3 linked regions of the Callithrix jacchus genome follow. The protein of the gene in region 1 purifies or fractionates together with the protein of each later gene. This does not show direct contact. Links are inferred from orthologs where the notes say so. Each region holds a gene or a part of one and is shown in the gene's direction. Other genes may lie near its edges.

What was found.
Region 2: the proteins of NEDD4 (region 1) and LAPTM5 purify together in Homo sapiens (affinity purification with western blotting; 3 studies listed by BioGRID and IntAct, with this or other methods). This does not show direct contact. The link is inferred for Callithrix jacchus from reciprocal best matches to the Homo sapiens genes NEDD4 and LAPTM5.
Region 3: the proteins of NEDD4 (region 1) and LAPTM4A purify together in Homo sapiens (affinity purification with western blotting; 3 studies listed by BioGRID). This does not show direct contact. The link is inferred for Callithrix jacchus from reciprocal best matches to the Homo sapiens genes NEDD4 and LAPTM4A.

What each region holds. Positions count from the first base shown.
Region 1 is NC_133509.1:43,627,844-43,631,493, reverse strand, and holds part of NEDD4 (E3 ubiquitin-protein ligase NEDD4), read left to right. Parts: intron 1-1,871; coding exon 1,872-2,072; intron 2,073-3,071; coding exon 3,072-3,152; intron 3,153-3,381; coding exon 3,382-3,436; intron 3,437-3,526; coding exon 3,527-3,585; intron 3,586-3,650. UniProt on the Homo sapiens protein: E3 ubiquitin-protein ligase which accepts ubiquitin from an E2 ubiquitin-conjugating enzyme in the form of a thioester and then directly transfers the ubiquitin to targeted substrates. Specifically ubiquitinates 'Lys-63' in target proteins.
Region 2 is NC_133508.1:67,389,124-67,392,773, reverse strand, and holds part of LAPTM5 (lysosomal-associated transmembrane protein 5), read left to right. Parts: intron 1-2,168; coding exon 2,169-2,261; intron 2,262-3,544; coding exon 3,545-3,634; 3' UTR 3,635-3,650. UniProt on the Homo sapiens protein: May have a special functional role during embryogenesis and in adult hematopoietic cells.
Region 3 is NC_133515.1:95,163,172-95,167,476, forward strand, and holds the start of LAPTM4A (lysosomal-associated transmembrane protein 4A), read left to right. Parts: upstream 1-1,457; 5' UTR 1,458-1,589; coding exon 1,590-1,700; intron 1,701-4,305. UniProt on the Homo sapiens protein: May function in the transport of nucleosides and/or nucleoside derivatives between the cytosol and the lumen of an intracellular membrane-bound compartment.

The sequences.
Region 1 (3,650 bases):
CCGCCATTTCCTGTGACTCTCTAATATATACAAATTACCACTTGTTATTATATAAAACAAGTTCAAATGAGAATAAGAGGAAAAAGCAAAAATCTGGTCTTTGTGTATTTTTATAATTTGAATAGTTAAGATCATTATTTTAACTAAAACATAATCTTGGTGATTGGTATCTATTAAAGAAATTAATGCTGATAACACCTCACCCTTGGCAACAGTTTCACCTGTAATAGTTCCTTTTAAGTGTTTAGCAAAATATTTATTTTCTCTTGTTGCCATATCTCTTGTTGAGAAAATTTTTAACACTGAAAAGTCTAGAAGATAATGTAGCAGATACACATATTCTTTATTCAGAATTACCATCATTAATAAGTTACCATATTAATTCCTAGAAATTTTATTTTTAAAAATAAAGTCTTGGCCGGGTGCAGTGGCTCAAGTCTGTAATCCCAGCACTTTGGGAGGCCGAGGCGAGTGGATCACGAGGTCAAGAGATCGAGACCATCCTGGTCAACATGGTGAAACCCCATCTCTACTAAAAATACAAAAAATTAGCTGGGCATGGTGGTGTGTGCCTGTAATTCCAGCTACTCAGGAGGCTGAGGCAGGAGAATTGCCTGAATCCAGGAGGCGGAGGTTGCGGTGAGCCGAGATAGTGCCATTGCACTCCAGCCTGGGTAATGAGCAAAACTCCATCTCAAAATAAAATAAAATAAAATAAAGTCTTAAAGATTAACCTAAATTTCTTTTAGCCAAGCTCTTGGTTCCGTTCCCCAGGGGGAACCACAGTCTTGAATTTGTTGTGTATTCTTCTAGCATATTTTATATACTTAAAGAGCTTAGAAAATGTAAATTAAAATATGCTGGGTGCAGTGGCTCACACCCATAATCCCAGCACTTTGGGAGGGTGAGGTGGGCAGATCACAAGGTCAGGAATTCGAGGCCAGCCTGACCAACATGGTGAAACCCTGTCTCTACTAAAAATATAAAAATTAGCTGGTTGTGGTGGCACGTGCCTGGATCCCAGCTACTCGGGAGGCTGAGGCAAGAGAATTGCTTGAACCCAGGAGTCACAGGTTGCAGTGAGCAGAGACTGCACCATTGCACTCCAGCCTGGACAACACAGTGAGACTCCATCTCAAAAAAAAAAAGTAAAATATTGTTTATATGCCTGTGTTTCTAATTTTGCAACGAGGGAACACTCATTTTATAGAATGAGGTGCTGCTCGATTAAAAAAAACCCTTTTTTTAATTGATGTTGTGGCCCCATAAGTCTACATCTTTTTTTGCTTAACACTGTTTTAAAGCTCTGTGTTGTTATTTATAGATGCAGTGTATTTCTCTTAACTACTAATATTCCATCATATGACTATATTACATTTCAATTTCGACTTCTGTGGTAGATATTTGTCATTCATTTTGTCTGCCTGACATTTGAATCTACTTCTCTGTATGAGGAACCCCCCATCCTATAAGTTTTGGGAGAATAAAGACAACCTCCTACTATAGGCACCATAACTCCACTTGCAGCTAGGGCTTGAGCTTGTGGACCTTGCTCCCTCAGTCAGATGCACCCACAGCAGACTGTTAACTGCTATCTCACTGCTTGAGAATTAGTTGAGAAATTATAAATTATTATTAAAATCAAGTTTGACAAAATAGCTTATTGGAAAAATGTTATTAAATGTACTGCATTATTAAAATGTTGGGAAAATATTAATATGCCATAACTACATTTGAAAAAGAACCTCAAATGTTTAGAGTCTCTTTAAAGGAGGATGTGTATTGCATTTGCAGGTTAAGTTACCTTTTTAACTGCTGCTATTTGTGAGTTCTCTATAAAATATTATAATATGATTTCATAAATATGCTAGGCCACAGTGGAGACCAGTCAGCTGACATCAAGCCAGAGTTCTGCTGGCCCTCAGTCACAAGCTTCCACAAGTGATTCAGGCCAGCAGGTGACCCAGCCGTCTGAAACTGAGCAAGGATTCCTTCCTAAAGGCTGGGAAGTCCGGCATGCACCAAATGGGAGGCCTTTCTTTATTGACCACAACACTAAAACCACCACCTGGGTAACTCTGATACTCTTCCATTTAAATTTATAACAACAATAATCATCTCTTATGTATAGTTCCTTATCATCTTTAAGTGTATATTAGTATAACCTATGTTTTCTAGGATTCATTGAAAAATATATTGAATTCTTAATAATATTATTTATATTCAGGAACACACTTACCCCTCTTTTTAATATTGTTTTGGATTATGATGGAGATACTCATGTTTACTTCCTGTTTCCAGTTGTTAGCCCACTAGCCATAAATGCTTAGGAAGATATGTAGGAATAATCCTTTGCTTTTATATGAGGCTTTCTAGCTCCAAAAAACTTTTGAATCCATATCTCAATATCAGAAAACCTTGCGAGGCTAGGTAGAGCAAGTTTTTTTTTTAAGGTAAGGCTTCAAGTTGTTTAGTGCTTGGCTTACCACTAGAAAAATTGCTCAAAATTAGCAGCAGATGAATAAATTTTAATTAATTATTAAAAGACCAGCACACCTTATTAATAATATTAAAGTAAAAATATATGTAAATTAAACCAAATACATTGAATTTTGTTCACATTTTTAACATTCTGAATTGACCATTAATAACCTCTTTGGGCTTACCTTCCTGTTATTCAAAAATATGAATCAACTTGAACAGATAGCTGCCAAAATGCATGTTCTGGGACTTAGAAATATCACGTGGTCCAATTTAATGCCCCACTCTTTTACCAGTTTTTACGTAGAGAAAACCCCTATAGAGTGACACATTTCCTAAAGAGCAGGCAAAGAGGTGACCAGTTAGCGGTGATCCCTGAGAACTGATCCTTATTCCTTTTGATATTATAGCCTGAGAGTGATAGATTTCAGGAGAAAATATTATGTCACATATTTAGGAAATAAAACACGAAAGGACTTTTACAAGAGAATATTTCAAACGTCCATTGATATTGGAAAACATGGTAATAGACTGACTTTCATTATTTTGAAATGTGTGTGTGTTGTTCTTTATTTACTCTACCACAAAAGGAAGATCCAAGATTGAAAATTCCAGCCCATCTGAGAGGAAAGACAGCACTTGATACTTCCAGTGATCTCGGGCCTTTACCTGTAAGTGTATAGAAATGCTAACCTCTCTTACTTGGCTATCTCAAATATTTTGTATTTTGGGATAGAGTAGTTCTTTATCAGCCTAATTAATCTTATTATTAAAATGTTGATACCTTCTAAGAATGGAATGGAATATGCAATTTAAATTAACCATACAATCAGTGCTATTTTTCTATCCATACATCTAAAACCCTATCCTAAAATAATTGAAATACATTCTTCATTATAGCCAGGATGGGAAGAGAGAACTCACACAGATGGAAGAATCTTCTACATAAATCACAGTATGTTCAATGTGATTTTTCATTATGTTATTTTTTATAATAAATTTTATATGTGAGAAAGAGCATCTTTTTTCTTTTTCTACCCTTCAGATATAAAAAGAACACAATGGGAAGATCCTCGGTTGCAGAATGTAGCAATAACTGGACCAGTAAGTCTCTTTGTACCAGTGTGCTCTGATGGGACTGTCCTCTCACCTGTCTCTTCAAGAGCAGA
Region 2 (3,650 bases), on another chromosome or scaffold:
GTGAAGGCCACCTGTATTCAGGTGTCTAATTTCAGCTGTCTGGAATTAGATGTGGACTGACCTGGACTTGAATCCCTGCCCCACTGTCACTAGCTGTGTGGCTAGTCTTCAGCAAGTCACTTCTCTCTGGGCCTCAGGGGCACAATGAGTCTTGCTTTGCCTGTGTTACAGTTGTATGTGATTCAGGCATCAAAACATACCTGAGATCATGTGAACAGAGGTTTGCGATGAGAAGGAGGGAGGGGAATGGTCTTATTCTTCTCTGGGGTGGTCAAGCCCCGAGGATAGGGTCCAGTTTCAGGTCTCAAGTCTGGGTGATGGTGAAGCACTGTGCGTGTTCGTAGCAACCAGCGAAGTGAAGAGACAAGAAAATGCTGCCATCTCAGGAAGTCAAACTCCGCAACCCCCGAAACCCAGCAAAGACCAGAGTGCTATTCAGTGTGGAAAATAGATGACTCAAGGGGGACATGATTGCTGTTTCTTAATACCTGAAGAACCTTCATGGGGAATTCTCGATTGCTTGAGGCTAGGGGTTCAAAACCAACCTGGGCAACATAGCAAGATTCTGTCACTATGAAACATAAAAAAAAAATTAGTTGGATGTGGTGGTGCGTGCCTATAGTCCCAGCTACTAGGGAGGCTGAGGCGAGAGGATCACTTGAGCCTGGGAGGTTGAGGCTGCAGTGGGCCATAATTGTGCCACTGCACTCCAGCCTGGATGACAGAGTGAGAATCTCTCTCTAAAACAAAAACCAAAATCCAAAAAACTACAGATAAGTAGAGAGAAGGCAATCACTCCACTATCTATACCCTACTCAGAGACTGTCACTGCTGACAGTCGGGTGCATGTCCTCCCAGCCTTTCTGTGCTGGTGGGTTGGCATCTGCAGACCCCAGCTGCTGCTTCCATTTGAGGCCCTGAGCAGTCTCTGCTGTCACCTGATGCCACCTGGAAATAGAAAATTTCCCCTTTTAACATCTCCAAGAACTGACCTAGCTTTGCTACAAATGTGCTAGTGAGTATGCAGTGAGAATGCCCTTGAGGCTTCCTGGGGGAAGGACCACTCCCCAGGTCCCACCACACGGCTCCATACCCCAGCTTCCCTTCTTTTTTCTTTTTTTGAGACAGAGTTTTGCTCTTGTTGCCCAGGCTGGAGTGCAATGGCACGATCTCGGCTCACTGCAACCTCCGCCTCCTGGGTTCAAGTGATTTTCTTGCCTCAGCCTCCCAAGTAGCTGGGATTACAGGCATGTGCCACCAAGCCTGGCTAATTTTTAAAATATTTTTAGTAGAGACAGAGTTTCTCCATGGTGGTCAGGCTGGTCTTGAACTCCCGATCTCAGGTGATCTGTCTGCCTTGGCCTCCCAAAGTGCTGGGATTACAGGTGTGAGCCACAGTGTCCAGCTCCACTTCTGTTTTTTTGTCCTCCAGAATGAGGGGATTCCCTCTTTGACCCTCATTCTGCCTTGCTGGCCTTCATACCTCATTCTTTGTCATTCGGTAGCTCCCTATGTCTTCCTGCCGCACCTATGCACTCATCAGGGACTCCATCAGACAAGACCTTCCAGTACAGGACCCTCTTCTCCTACTCAGGGGGGATTTGGGGGTTTTCTGTTGTTTCTTGTGCTCACCCCTTGGGATTTTATGCCCCATCCTGAAATCTTCTGCCCAGTTCTTACATCAACTTGCATCAGCTGATGGATATATGCTAATTATTCATCCTTTATAAACATGGACCAATACTGCATGGGCTTTTTTGTAATCTGCTTTAGAAAACAACATATCAGAAGCAGTTTTGAAGAGAACGTGTCCCACTGCCAGCTCTGTTTCAAGATGGGCAGGGCTGTCTCGGGAGGTAGTGAGCTCCCAGTTACTGTGGGCAGTGAAGCAGGAGCTGTGGGACTATTGCTGGGAAAATTGGAGGGTGGGCAAGAAGCCCCCCAAATGCCCTTGCTCTGTGATGTCTATGGGGCAATGAAAGAAGCAGTACCTGGACTATTCTGGACTGACTGGCGAAGAACCCTAACCAGAAGGAGAGGTCTGAGCAGGAATGGCTGGATGCTGGCTTCTGGAGAGAGTGGTGGCTGCTGGCTGGCATTGTCCCAGGCCTGATGGAGAGTCAGAAGGATGCTCAGTAAAGCACAGCCTGACCTGCACCTTCTTCCAGGTCTACATGTTCAAGTGCGTGTGGCGGTGCTACAGATTCATCAAGTTCCTGAACTCGGCTGAGGAGAGGAGCAACTCCAAGATGCTCCGGAAGGTGAGTGTTGATCCCAGCCCTGCCACTCACTCCCTGTGCCATTTGGGTCACACCTCTTTCCCTCTGTGGGCCTCGGTTTCTCTATTTGTAAGATGAGGGTTGGATCAGAAGAAATGTGACCTCTTTCAGTTCTGATAGTCTAAGATTCTATTCATTCACTCACTCACTCACTCACTCATTCATTTATTCAGTATTTACTGCTTCTCACTCTTGGCTAGTCTCATATCTATTCCAAGGGGTGCAGAGAAAACTAAGATGCCACCTCTACCTCAGAGAAGTATATAGTCCAGGGTGAATTCAGACACATAGATACAATTACAACTTGGTGCGAAGCACAGGGACAATAAGCACAGGGACCTGGCTTCTTCTTGGGCATCAGGGAAGGCTTCCTGGAGGAGGTGACAGTTGATTGGTCTTGGAGGGTCAATGGATATGAGATAGCTGGGAAAGAAGAAGGAGCTTTCCAAGAAGAGAGGATGGGGTGCGCTTGGAAACTGCTTATTGGAAAGTGATGGTTTAAATTTCTGGTAACTTACTTTTGTCACCTGTAAGGTGGAGGTTGGATTAGTTAAGACACTTTTGGTTGCAAGTGGCAGAAACCCAACTCAATCTGACTTAAGTAACAGAAGGAACTTACTAGCTCACAGAACTTAGCAGTCAAACGTAGGACTGGCTTGGGCCTGGCCGAGTCCTGACATCAGGACATGATCTCATCCTCTCTATCTCTTGATTCTACTTTCCTTGATGTTGGCTTCATTTTCAGGAAGCCCGTCCCTCGTGGTGGCAAAATGGCTGCCAAAACCCCTAGGCTAACATCCCATCCTCTCAGTAATCCCAGTGGAAAGAGAATGTCCCAGGAGTATGTCTGACTGGACCAGCTTGGGCCATATGCCTGTGCTGAAACCAAAGACTATAGCCAGGGGGATAGAATCCTAATTTGAGTGGCCAAGTCTGGCCACCCTACTGGATCTGTGGGACGGGGCCAGTTCTTCTGAAGGTATATGGACTGTAAATGTCTTCCCAAGGAAAATGGTGCACTGCTTTCAAAATAAGGGGGTCTTCATGCTGAACAGGCAAGTGTGTCCACTACTGGGAAGTGTGCCTATCTCATGCAGGCAATGTGTAGCACATAGCAGGTATCCAAGACCTGTCAGTCATTATCACCATCATCATCATCATCATCATCATTTTGCCAGAGGTGGGAGTTTGGGTCCCACGATCCTAGGTTGGAATTGCGGGTTGTTCTTGACCATACTCAGCCCTCATCTCTCTGTCTCTCCCAGGTGGTCCTGCCATCCTATGAGGAAGCCCTGTCTTTGCCATCGAAGGCTCCAGAGGGGGGCCCAGCACCACCCCCATACTCAGAGGTGTGACCCTCGCCAGGCCCCA
Region 3 (4,305 bases), on another chromosome or scaffold:
AGAATGAAATAAGGAATATGTAATTGTGGGGGCCGGGTTAAGATAATGTACTCCCTATAAAAGTAGAGAAATGTCATAATTCATTCTGAGTTAAATAGCCAGTCACCCTCCATCCTTTAGCGTGGGTTGGCTTAACTACTGCTTCCCAGATAGTTTGAAAGTAGGCTCCATGGACAACTCCTTCAGTGGTGAACAAATAGTCTCTACTCTTCCAGAATTTGTATTTTATTGGGAAGATAATCAACAAATATGTACACAATTTCAGGCAGTTATCAAAGAAGCCATGCCAAGGAAATAACCTTTACTCTGAATTCACTGTGGTCTCTGGCTAAGAAACACGTGGCAGAAGGGAAGTTCTTTCTATTCTCTGAAAAGAAGTGTGTTTACCAAAGCATTAAAATAATAAATACATTTTTTAAAGATAAAGTCTCAGGTCTCACACAAATACAAATGAACAGTGTAAAAAATTTATTTACTCATTAACCAGGGACCAGTAAGCTGTCAGAATCAGCTCTAAGCAGAATAAAGCATCCACCTATATCGTTGAATCAAGACAGGGGAATGAATTTACAAATCGATGCAAAATACCTTTCCCCAAGGAGGGGTAAGATACAAGATGAAATCCAGAGGAGGGGTCTTACAGAGTTGTGCAGAGCACCACAAAGAAAGGCGAACAGCAGAATGCCCAGGACGGGGTGCCAAACTGTGGCTGTTTTTTCACTGAAGACATTCGGTAATTTTTTGGTCCATTTCAATGTGTTTCATAATTTTTCCCTACAAAAAAATCACTAATCTCTAAAAACCCAGCAGCTAAGCAGTTCTACGTTATCTTGTTTTCATTTATCCTTAATCCTTTTGCCTTTGGCAGGGTTGGATGGTATTTCTTCGCCCCCACAAAGGAAGCTTCGGAGGGATGAGAGGGTGTAAATCCAATCCCTCCACCCCTCCGCACAGCCCCCCATTTCCGCAACAGGGGTGAGGACACCTCCACGCGGAACTTAGTCCCGCCCCTTCCTAACAGACCCCACCCCTGAACCGCCCAATAATCGAGGGGCGCGCAAAGGTCACGTGACCAGCCCGTGACGCTTCCGAAGCAGTACGTGGCACACAGTGCTCAGGAAAGCCTGTGGTGCTTGCTTTGTGCCATCTGCGCCATCTCGTGTCTCCTGTTTCCCATTAAATGCCTCTTTTCTTGTGGGTCTCATCTCGGGGATGGTGAACTACGGGGCTACAGGATCCTAGGCCCAAGAACCAGCCCTTGCCCTCAAGTAACAGGCGGAGACTGGCTGAGGAGAGTTGCACTTCTAATTGGGCGTGAGGTCTTGTCAATCTCGTAGTTCTTCCAATCAGAAGTCGGGTCCATCCAGTCTTCCGCTCTCCATTGGCCTGTGTGGAGGAAGAGGGGTGGGTAAGCCGAAGTCGCTGCTCTCAATGCGCAGGCGCGAAGGAGCTGACCTGGTCCCAGGCCGAGTGCGGGCTTGAAGACGCGTCGTTTGGTTTTGGAGACCGTGACCGAGCTGTTTGAGTTTGACTGCGGGGTGGAGAACGTTTGTCAGGGGCCCGGCCAAGAAAGGTCCGCAAGATTCCCGATGGTGTCCATGACTTTCAAGCGGAGCCGCAGCGACCGGTTCTACAGCACCCGGTGCTGCGGCTGTTGCCATGTCCGCACCGGTACCATCATCCTGGGGACCTGGTACATGGTAAGGCGGGCGGGCGTGGCGCGCAGGACCAGGGGCCCTGGGGAGCCAGGCCTGGTGCGGAGGGGGTGGGACTGGAAACGGGGTGTTGGGTGGGGTGGGGACGTGGAGGGGCGCTGCTTTTTAGGGCGCGCCAACTCTGGATGAAGTCCAGGGACTCTGGGGAAGGAACCTAGTCCAGGAATCGGAGTGGGGGGGTGGTAAGCATGGGGAGATTGTTCTTCGGCAAGAATTTGAGGAGAAAAGCGAGCTTGGGAGAGCAGAGGCGTTTTAGGCGAAGGCACGAGGGTGCTCGGATGTGGTGGGAATTCCTCTGTTTTGGCTCTTTTTGTATTTCTGCGATCTGAAAGGCAGCCCCTCCCTTTCTCCTACCCAGTGCTCCCTGGAATTTTTTTCCCCTAATGAAACAATTAGGAGCAGACCTTGATAAATGCAGTTTAGTTTCGACATTGTCTTCCGGTTGGGAAAGCGAAAGATCCAGCGGTAATCCAGTTGTCTGTTTCCTGGACTTTGTTTTGTTACACTGCCTCTTTTGCGAGTCTTCAGAATCGCTTGGGGGCGATAGCATTTGCCCGAGTTTACGCCTGACCAGCTTTTGTCCTGGTGCAGCCTCCTCCCTGCGCAGTAGATGCTCGTCGTTGCCGACCCGCTGTTTTTACGGAGACCTTTATTGAAAGGCCTCTCCGCCCTGGCCACCTACGCTGATATCTCCTGGGTTCCAAGATCTGTCCTAACCAAGTTGACACTTGTTGACTGGTGGTTCACTAGTAATATGTTTGTGATTTTTCTTTTTTAATTTACCGTTTATAGTGTCCATGCACATTAAACCTAACTTGTCCTTGACTTCCAAATACGTGATTCAGTTTAGGTAGTTTTAGGTTATTAAGACTTTACAGAAGCTGTGACGAACTTCTTACATGGTCGACTTGGCCACTTTCTTTAATGACGTCGTGAATATGGTTGTGTGGGGAGTGCACCTCGATCATACGGTGCTGTTTTTAATATTTAAGTGAACTGCAAAAGAGGAAGAGAGTTATCCCAGATGCTGTTTTTCTCTGTACTCGCTGCTTCTCCCCACCCATTGTCTTGAAATCATTAGTAAGCATTTGGACAAACGCCAGATGCGAATCATCGTAAATGAGGCAGATATTGTTTCCTGGCCCACCCCCGGGGGACTACCTGACTCCACTTTCCTCCTACCTGCCGGGTTGTTAGTTACCGTCTTGTTTCTGGTGTACATTTAAAAAACAACTCGAATCTTGTGCTGAGTTTATTTTCTTGTTTCCTATACTTTTATATTCAGAAATACCATCTTATTGGTAGAACTGTATCACATTTTCCCACAGAGACTCTTTTGTTCTGTATTTTAACTGATTTGGAATTCCAAACACATAGTTAATGACCATCAGCTGCATTACGTTTCTAACTTCGATTTCAGTCTTCTCCATTTTGCTGAGGGGCTCAGTCTAATTTCTTTTGTTTGTCTTTATCTCTGTCTTCTATTTCCCTAAGTGAATGATTCTAACCTTGAGGATCCTCCAGCCTCTTACTCAATTCCGTCTTCCTCACCCCCAGAAAAGGACCTTCTCTCCTTCTAAACTAAGAGAATCCATCGGCCTGGCTCTCTCGCCTGCAGTCTGAGTCCTCCCGTTTCTTCTCGGATCCTTCCCTCTACTCACAGAACAAAGGGTTCCTAACTCCTTCAGAGTAGTACCACCATTTCTGTTTCAACCATCCGGATGTAATTGGCTGTATTTCTTTTCAGTTTTTTTTTAAGGCAGATTTTTTTCACGCTATGGGTTCAGCTGGAAAATGAATAGAATAGCGGGAGAAATTGGGAACTACAAACAGGAAACTCAAAATGCAGAGAGAAAAACTTCAGCAGGGGCGTTTATTCTTACAAAGTAAGAGCTTACATCTGTTCCCTACTATAAGCCCTTGTTGTGAGAAGGATTCATGTATCTCTGAAGACCGTGCTTTAGTTTCACAATTTTAAAAAGATGCCATAGCTGTTCTTATTTTGCATAGACTTCTCAGGTTAGTGTAAAACATTTTGTTGTAAACCGCTTAAATCATTTCACCTGTCTGAAATTGATTACGAGATTTACTGACTATCTGCAGTGTAAAAGGCTTTGATGGACATACAGAAGGAATAAACACAGGGACCATGTGTCATTTGTCTTCTGTTCTCCTATGACCTGCCAAATGTTAGATTCTCAAATGTTTCTTGTCTAACAGAGCATATGCCCTTAAGATGTTTATGTTATCACAAAGAACTTGGAACACAGGTATGAAAAACTTATGGTACAGTGATGAAGGAGGAGGGGAAGATAATCAGTAATACAAGATTCTCATCAGAATAAGTACTGGAAAAAGGCCATTGGTTTTGTTTATCATAGTGTTGTTGATGACTTTCAGAGGTGCTTCAGTACCATAGCAATGTAAAAACAGTCTCTGCCGACTTGGGGAGATATGTCAGACTTGTGACACAAGACCACCTAGTCCAAAATGTAGTATAATATTTTGAAACTAAGAGGGCTTGTCCAAGCAATGCATTTTGTTCTCAGAAGCTGCTTTACGAAGACAGAAAAACAACATGGGGATGAGT